Linked DNA regions of Ovis aries. The protein of the gene in region 1 interacts with the protein of each later gene in a pairwise test. Links are inferred from orthologs where the notes say so. Each region holds a gene or a part of one and is shown on either strand. Other genes may lie near its edges.

Evidence for each region.
Region 2: the proteins of FLII (region 1) and LRRFIP1 interact in binary tests that used the Homo sapiens proteins (3 or more experiments, as listed by UniProt). The link is inferred for Ovis aries from reciprocal best matches to the Homo sapiens genes FLII and LRRFIP1.

Annotation. Positions count from the first base shown.
Region 1 is NC_056064.1:34,133,838-34,138,199, forward strand, and holds the start of FLII (protein flightless-1 homolog), read left to right. Parts: upstream 1-1,456; 5' UTR 1,457-1,484; coding exon 1,485-1,547; intron 1,548-1,753; exon of another isoform or gene 1,754-1,858; intron 1,859-3,057; coding exon 3,058-3,168; intron 3,169-3,518; coding exon of another isoform or gene 3,519-3,556; coding exon 3,557-3,628; intron 3,629-4,362. UniProt on the Homo sapiens protein: Is a regulator of actin polymerization, required for proper myofibril organization and regulation of the length of sarcomeric thin filaments. It also plays a role in the assembly of cardiomyocyte cell adhesion complexes.
Region 2 is NC_056054.1:3,570,563-3,575,123, reverse strand, and holds the start of LRRFIP1 (leucine-rich repeat flightless-interacting protein 1), read left to right. Parts: upstream 1-1,714; 5' UTR 1,715-1,786; coding exon 1,787-1,882; intron 1,883-4,561.

The DNA.
Region 1 (4,362 bases):
TTAGCTTGTCTGTAAGATGGAGCAGGTGCCACGAGAAACCATTAGACATGCAGAACCCAGAAGTACAGATGGCTGGGACCTCAGGCATCTTTGCCAGGCCCTGCAGGCTGAGCCCCAGCTCTCAGGCCCTGAGCACTGAGGGGGGTGTGTGACCAAGGGACAAGCCCAAGGGACCAGTCAGATGGCCAGGCAGAACTGTCACCCTGAGGATGCCTGAACAGATGACGCTGAGCTCAGAGCCAACTCAGCCCCAATGACTTCTGGCTGCCCTGCTCCCAGAACCGGGTGCCGGAGCCCGGTTGCCAAGTGGGGCCTGCAGCCCCGCACCCATCCCCCTTTCCCAAGCTAAAAATAGGAAAGACAGCGGAGGGGGTTGACCCAGCATGGCCCGGCGGCGGCTTCCTTCATCAGGACTGCCAACCGCCTCCAAACTGTAAAGCGCTCAAAGCCCCTGCCTGTCTGACCTGGGGCCCGCAGACCCTAACCAGGGAAGGGGAGAGGGAAAGGCCACGCCTCCCCTAGCCTCCTCCAAGCCCCGGCCGCGAGGACACCGAGGCCCGGGGAACGCCAGGATGGGCCCAAGAAGCGACCAGAACTCGGCTCGAGCCGGTTCTCTCCCGGCCGGAACCGCGCGGCCGATAGAGGCCACGCCCCGTGCCCCGGCCGTACCTGCGTCGCGGCTTCGGCGCCCCAGCCAGGGGACTCAGGGGGCCGCTCGGGCCGCGCCCCGGGGCCGCCTGGGAATGGAACGTGCAGGACCCGGGAGTCGAACGCCAAGGCCTGGGGCGGGCACGGGCCCCAGGCTCGCAGACGGACAGGCCCCGACTCCAATCAGAGCGCTCAAGGCCAGTGCCCACGTGCCGCCCTGAGGCGGCCTCGGCCAATGGCGGCCGAGCGCCCCTCGGGGCGTGGCTCCTCGGCAAGCTCCGCCTTAAAGGCGCAGGGCCACGCTCCAGGACTCGGCAGGTGGGAACGTGAGCTCCTTCCTGGCAAAGGAAGCATCCGGTGGGGCTCCTGGTCACTGTAGTCTGCGGCCGCCTCTCCCGTGAAGGGTATACTGGTCCTGTCACTTACTGGGACCGCTATGTGCCGGCCCAGGGAGGCCTCCCTCGAGGGGCAAGCGGGCACGTAACCGCGCACCCGGGCTGGCCTCCGACCCAGGACGCATAAGAGTGTGGGCACTGGCCCCGGAGCGTCTCCCGGAGGCTCGTGGCTCCGGACGAGGACCCGGGCGTCCTACTGCCACTGCCGCCCGAACCACCCAGGTCCCCGGCGTTGACCAGCTCAGGAACAGCCGGGGGCCGAGAAGGCCCTTTAGGGCACCGGGACACAGCGCTCCTCGAGGCCCCGCGCCCCAGGGCTGGCCCCGAGCGGCCCCGGGCTGAGAGGCGGGGCCGACGCGCTCCCCGCCCCGCCGGCTCCGCGGTCCCCGCCCCGAGCGCCGGGCCCCGCCCGCGGTCCTCTCCCCTCAGCCCAGCGCCGCCATGGAGGGCACCGGGGTGCTGCCGTTCGTGCGCGGCGTGGACCTCAGCGGCAACGACTTCAAGGTGAGCCTCTGGGCGACGGCCGGGACCCCCAGCCCGCCCCTCCGCTTCCTGCGCGCCCGGGACCGCGGACGGGCTTGCCCGGACCCCGCCCCGGCCCAACGTCCCAGGCCTCCGCCCGGCGCCCGCGAAGACAGCCCAGGCCGGGCGGGGCGGGCGGGCGCGCGTAGGGTCCCGGAGCTGCGCAGGGGCGCGCGGGGTCTGCTCACCGGCTGGGTCCTGGCGCCTGGCCCCAGCAGGCCGGCCGGGGGTCCCGGTCGGAGCTCGAGCTCGCGCCTCCCCAGCCCTCCCCGCCCCTGTGAGGTCACAGCCCAAGCCGGGCCCTGACTCATGGTTACGCCGCCGGCTCTGCGCTACCCGCACCCGCCACCCCCATCCTGTGTGGTCTTAGGCAAGTCACTTCCCCTCTCGGAGCCTCGTCTTCTCGTCTGGTGGAGAGGCTTACCTTGAAACCCCTGGAGGCGGGGATTAGTTGTGGAGGACGTGTTGGGCAGGTGGGCGAGGCCCTGGGTGCCATTTGTCTGAGCAGCTTCCGAACTGGCGGACCAGGGCGGCTGGGAACACCAGCCCAGCCTCGGGGCGGGACAGTGGTTCTTGAGAACTGAGAGTGAGGCCGGAGGGCTGGTGACCAGAGAGGAGGCCCTGAGAGATGGCCTGGTTCCAGGAGGGTCCTCAGGGTGGATGAGTGGGCTGACCCTGGCTGGCGTCAGTGGAGCATCAGCCTGGGTCTGCAGGGTCCAGTGGTCCAGGCAGTGGCTGGGGTCAGGGCAGAGGAGACAGGCCCTTTCTTCCTGTATTTACCCACACTTGCCACCGTGCACACTCCTCTGCCTCCATCCCCACCGTCCTCACCTGGAGTCCCCAAGTGTCCTCTTCAGTCTAGGAGAGTGAGTCACCAGCAGGGAATGTGGCCGTAGGGAGAAGGGGCACTAGCCCAGAGCACTGAAGGCATTAACCTCCCCAGGTTTCTGGCCACGGGGCTGGGGTCCTGAGGTGGGCATTTGAGTCTGGGGGACGAATGGGTGAGTGAACTAATGAATAAGCTATGCCTGTGTGGGAAAGGGTGGGGAGCTGGGGCCTCATGCAGGGGGTGGGTGGCAGGGCACAGGTGGGGCCTTGGCAGAGGCACAAAGTGCAGTTCAACAAATTGCACAGGCAGGGCCTGGATGCAAGGCAAAAACATTGAGTTGATCCGACCTCACAGCTGACTCTGGGGTGGCATCTAGAATAAGCCTTCCTGGGCCAAGAAGCCAGCAGGAGAGGCGGGGCTTAGGTCAGCAGCCATCCTAATCACCAGTGGGTTCTCAGGACGCTTTTGTCATCAGGGGGCTTTCATCAGCCCTATTCTACGGGTGAGAAAACTGAGACAGAGTGGCCAAGTGATGTGTCTGGGGTCACACACACAACTAGAAATGACTATTGCCCCCAAAGGCTCCCACAGACAGTGGGGGCCACAAGGTGGCAGAGCAAGGGTACCATGTCCCAGACCAGCCTCACTGTGACGTACCCGCAGGGTGGCTACTTCCCTGAGAACGTCAAGGCCATGACCAGCCTGCGATGGCTGAAGCTAAACCGCACCGGCCTTTGCTACCTGCCAGAGGAGTTGGCCTCCCTGCAGAAGCTGGTAAGAAGCTTTGGACAGGAAGGGGAGGGTCCAGGTGGATGGGGCTAGCCAGGTGGACAGAGCCTGTGCAGGACATTGCCTGTCACAAGCAGAACTGGTGGAGAGAGGATGAGCACCCTGTCCTGGGAGGTATGCAAGAAGACTAGGTGTGTGAAAGAAGAAAGGTGCAAGAGTGGACTGGACCTGGGTGGCCTAGGGTGCCTGGGTAGGGCAAGGCTGTGGTAGCAGATAGGGGCTCTGTGGGAAGATCCCTGGGTGGGGCAAGGCCCTGGTGGTGGATGGGGGCTCTGTGGGAGGGTCCTTGGACAGGGGAAGGCTGTGGTGCCAGTGGAGGCTCTGTGGACGCCCAGCCCACCCTGCTGAGCCTCTACACCCTGTGCCGGCCCAGGAACACCTGTCCGTGAGCCACAACAACCTAACCACGCTGCATGGGGAGCTGTCCAGCCTACCATCGCTGCGGGTGAGTGCTGCCCAAGACTGCAGAAGTCAAGGTGGGGACTGGGGGCAAGGCCAACCCCTCTGTCCACCCTGGTGTCAGGGGTTTGTGGGGAGAGAGCATGCAGTAATGACCTGAGTTGAGAAACACGTAGGAGAAAAGGTGAAAAAACCTAAGTCTGATCCATTTTGAACTGCTGTGATAGCTGATCCTGGCTGAGCAGCACTCCAGCTATTTCTCAAGGGTCTTTCATGTGATCCCAACCTCCACCAAGTTCACAGAGAGGACACTGACCAAGGGGGCAGGTCACTTGCCTGTGGTTTATCCCCAGTGATAAAGCTGGGGCAGGGCAGGGCAGGGGAGGTGGTCTGGATGGGTCATTCCCCCTGCTGTTCTCCATGGAACCTCCCATCCCAGATGTTCAGGCCATTCCAGTGGTCGTTCCCATTTAAGGTTGGAGCCCTGAGATGCGAAGGGCACACCTCTGGAGTCGGGTTAAAGCTGAGCTCTGCACTTTCCGAGATGGCCCTTCAGTGACCACCGTGAAGTGGCAAAGTGTCACCACACAGACATTGGGCAGAGAGGGAGCCGCAGTGGTGGCTCCTGTTTCTCCTTCTGTCAGTTGTGGCCATGGTGCCTTCCCCTGGTCTGTTCTGCCCCACTCGGCCATCCTGCCCTAATGTCCTGCACCATGAAAGCCTGAGCAGGTTTCAGCCCTAAGGGCACAGAAGACAGGCTTGCTGTGTGTCTATACTCTG
Region 2 (4,561 bases), on another chromosome or scaffold:
AATAACCTCAGATGTGCAGATGACACCACCCTTATGGCAGAAAGCAAAGAAGAACTAAAGAGCCTCTTGAGCCTCTTGATGAAGGTGAAAGAGGAGAGTGAAAAAGTTGGCTTAAAGCTCAACATTCAGAAAACTAAGATCATGGCATCCGGTCCATCACTTCATGGCAAATAGACAGGGAAACTGTGACAAAATTTATTTTGGGGGGCTCCAAAATCCATGCAAATGGTGACTGCAGCCATGAAATTAAAAGACTCTTACTCCTTGGAAGAAAAGTTAGGACCAACCTAGACAGCACAATAAAAAGCAGAGACATTACTTTGCCGACAAAAGTCCATCTAGTCAAGCTATGGTTTTTCCAGTAGTCATGTATGGATGTGAGAGCTGGACTATAAAGAAAGCTGAGTGCCGAAAAATAGATGCTTTTGAACTGTGGTGTTGGAGAAGATTCTTGAGGGTCCCTTGGACTGCAAGGAGATCCAACCAATCCATCCTAAAGAAAATCAGTCCTGAATATTCACTGGAGAACTGATGCTGAAGCTGAAACTCCAATGCAAAGAACTGACTCATTGGAAAAGACCCTGATGCTGGGAAAGATTGAAGGCAGGAGAAGGGGATGACAGAGGAGATGGTTGGGTGGCATCACCAACTCAATGGACATGAGTCTGAGTAAACTCCAGTGGTTGGCAATGGACAGGAAGGCCTTGTGTGCTGCAGTCCATGGGGTCGCAAGGAGTCAGACATGACTGAGTGACTGAACTGAACTGAGACCTGACTGCATCTGTGAGGTCAGACCTCATCTCACCTGGGGTGCAGGTTTGAACCAGAACCCTACACCCACCCTTTAGTACGAACCCTTTTCTGCAACCCAATCACTTCGAGTCCTCCCCTGTCCTCGCTGGGGTCCAGACTCAAGGGGTAGCGCCTGCGCTGGGGAGGTCAGCCCAGGATTGCTAGGGAAGTCCACCCTCCAGGGCTCCCCACCGGGCCAACCGGAAACCCTGGGGGCTCCAGGCATCTCCGGCTCCGCCTCCTTTGTCTGAATTCTCTGCCGTGGCTTGTTCCCAGTCCGCACCAAGGACCCGAGCCCCCATCACCCCCGCCCCCTCTGGCGCCCACAAGCTCCCCACCCCGAGCCATCCCAGGCCTCCTGCCATTTTCCTGTTCACTGTCCCGTCGTCCCCACGCCCCCATCTCGGCCTCCCACTGGAATCCCCAGCCCTCTTAGTCTCAGTGTCCCTGCACCTCCGCCTTGCTTTCACTCCCCCAGTCCCCTTGCCCCACGCATCCTCATGCCGCTGCCCTGACTCCCAGCCTTCCCAAACTTCCCGCATCTCCACGCGCACGGTCCCCAGGCGTCCCCCGCGCCCCCAGCCCCCAGCGCCCAGATCCCTGGCCCCTGGAGTCCCAGCGCATCTGGCTCCCGGGTCCCTCTCCGGCGCATCCCCGCAGCCCGGGTCCCGTGCCCCTCTCCCCGGGGATCCCCAGACTCCAGCCCCCCGCGCCCGGGTCCCCATCTGGCGCGCCCCGGCCCCCGCGTCCCCCCACCCCCACCCCGCTTCAGGCTCCCCAGCCCCTGCCCCCCGCGTCCCCGCAGTCCCGCAGCCCCGGCCCCCGCGTCCCCCGCCCCGGGCGTCCGCAGCCCCTGTCCCCGCGTCCCCGCGTCCCCGGCCCGCGCCCGCTGACGCCATGACGCCGGCGGAGGGCGGGGCGCAGCGGGGCCGGGCGGCCGGAGGGGCGCGGGCGGCGGAGCCGGGGTCCCGCGGCGCAGCGGGCGGCGCGGCCGATGGACATGGGCACGCAGGGCTCGGGGCGCAAGCGGCTCCCCAACCGGGAGCGGCTGACGGCGGAGGACGACGCGCTGAACCAGATCGCGCGCGAGGTGAGCGCGGGGCGCGGGCGCAGCGGGGCGCGGGCGCCGGGCTCCCCCGCGGCTGTCGGGCGTCCGTCCGCCGGCTCGGCGGGCGGGGCGCGGGCCGGGCCGGCACCTCGGCGGGCCGGGCGCGGGTCCTCCTTCGCGGGGACGGGCAGGCGACGCCGAGCCCTCCCCCCAGGCCCCCGGCCCGCCCGGCCGCCGCGCCCTCGCCGAGCGGGACTGGGGGGCCGCCCCCCTGCGCACCGTGGCCTCGGGCCGGCCTGGTGGGGGGCGAGCGCCCGACTAGGTTGTGCGCCGCATCGTGGGGGTGACGCAGGCCCGACCCCCGGAGGCCTGCGGACAGTCCCTGGAGGCCACATGGCCCTGGCGAAATGACCCGGCTCCTGTGTGTGACCCGCTGTCGCCTCGATTGTCACACAGGGCGCCTCTGGGGCGCGAACCGGGGTCTCCCTGGATCTCGTTTCTGGACCGAGGCTTAGAGCGGGCCCAGGCACGCTGAGAGGTTCTCATCAAAGTTTCCAGGGCAGAGTTTATTATAACGATTGATGATGAACTTGAAGTGTGCAAATTAACGGAGCCCCGCTAGGGTGACTTTTACAAACGCTTTTTCCTCCCACAAGAATTCAACCTTTGGGCTAAACAAACCGCAGGGTAAAGATGCCAGGGAGACGGGGGCAGCAGGTTCCCTGGGAAGGGGTGAGATTCCTGGGGCCTACAGGGGACAGAGCTTGGCTTGTCATGTCACAGGACACCTTTGTACGCCTTCTGGATTGCCTAGCCAGTGGGCTCACTGTAGACAGGGCCCCCTCCCCATCCACTCTCTTCCAAGTGTTGGAGTGTGATGGAGAGGCTGTCTACATGTCATTATCATCACGTGGAAAAACCTCCAGGCGGTGTAGACGGTGGTGTCTGGTTGCCTCACTCAGCTATTTATGGAGGCCTGCTCTAGTACCACTTCTTAGATGGCTGGCTTTTATGGACTCGTGGCTGTCGCTCAGTATTTGTTGAATATTGAATGAATAAAAGCATTTATTTTTCTCCATGTGGGAAGAAACTGGGCTTTCCAGGAAAACCCCTATTCATCTCTTAAAACCTACGGTAGATTTGTGTCCCGTGTGGGACCTCCCCCATCAGCCCAGGCTAATGTCTCCCTGCCTGCACTTGGGTTCCTCTAGCTTTTGCTCCCTACACCTGCCGTGCTGGTCACGTGGCCTCAGCCATATCTGTTCACCTATCCGACCCCCATGGAAGGCGGCCACCAAGCAGGCACCGTCTTACTCATTTCACATCCCCAGGGATCAACACAGAGCCGGGCGCATAGTGAGTGCTGCTAAGTCTCTGTTATATCGCCTAAAAAACAGAAGGGGTACGAGGCACTTACAGTACATGTGGCTAAATATAGGTGCTTGCTAAATGTAGCAGCTTGAACATAATCCCCACCCCTGTGAAGACGGTCATGTAAGTAAGTGTTTAAACATAAAACCAAACAGGTGTTCTCCGAGAGGCCTGAGGTGACACGATCCGTGGGCCTTGTCTTTCCAGCAGTGGTTGCGGACAGAGGAAGGAGATTGAGGGTCCCCAAGTCCCCCTCGCGTGTGCTGGGTTTTATTAAAACAGACTGAAAGGAAAGGCCGAGGGATGCTCCTGGCAGGAGAGCCTTGAGGTGCAGAGTAACCGGGAACCCACTGGCCTGCCTCCCAGCCTGGGGACACAGTTGGCAGCGACAAATTCAGACACAGGCGTCAGACCCAGGACTGGAGCTACACACAACTCCTCTGTGCTGTCTGTGACAGCAGGCTGTGCTATCCTAGTCAGCCCCTTCCCGGTCTCTGTTTTTCTCATCTTTAAAATGAGGAGAAGACCTCCCCTGAGGCTGTCAGGAGTAATGAAAGTGAGCAGCAGACGTCAAGTGAGTCACTGGCTAGATGTAAGGACTACAGGCGTGCGCATCGTCCCAATAACCCCGGCCATGTGGCTGCTCTGAGTGCTGAGTGGCAGCTATCTGTCATGTTGGAAGGAGCCAGTGCAAATACATTTTACTGCAAAATGAATTCTGTCTCCCAGCTGTGAAAATTAGAATCACTATTCAAATGGCAAATATCTATTCACCATGGAGTTCTAGAGAGTTCTTATAAAAATCAACAAAATTATCTTAAAGTTTCATATGATATGAATACTTTCTCATTTGCTAATTGACTCAGCAGATACATGCTGCTCTTTCTGAAGCCCTGTCCTAGGGAGACTGGGATTCAGGGATGGACTTAAAGAGTATCTGGGGTCTGACTTAGAGCATGACAATAAAAGAAGGCAGGAAGAGATCTGAGATTAGAAGGATATTGGGCCCTGGAGGTTTGGAAATGAGAGAGTTAGCAATTCATCGATGAGACTAAGAATAGCAATCAGAGGCGGCTCCCTGGAGGAAGTGGCATTTTGAGTTATTCTTGAAGAAACCCTGACCTGGACTGGCCTCCACGAGGGGAAATGTTCTGGCTGGAGGACAGACTCTCTGGGCAGCGTCCCCAGGGCGGTGGCCCCTGGTCTCCACAGCGTCTCTGCAGCCGGCTCTGCTGGGCACCTCTGCAGGTGGCCTCGTCCTCAGGCTGTCTTGCTTTGGCAGACACTGCCCCCCTGAACCCACATGCCCCGTCTCTTCTGGTGGCTCTGTCCTGAGAGCTAGAAGCATCT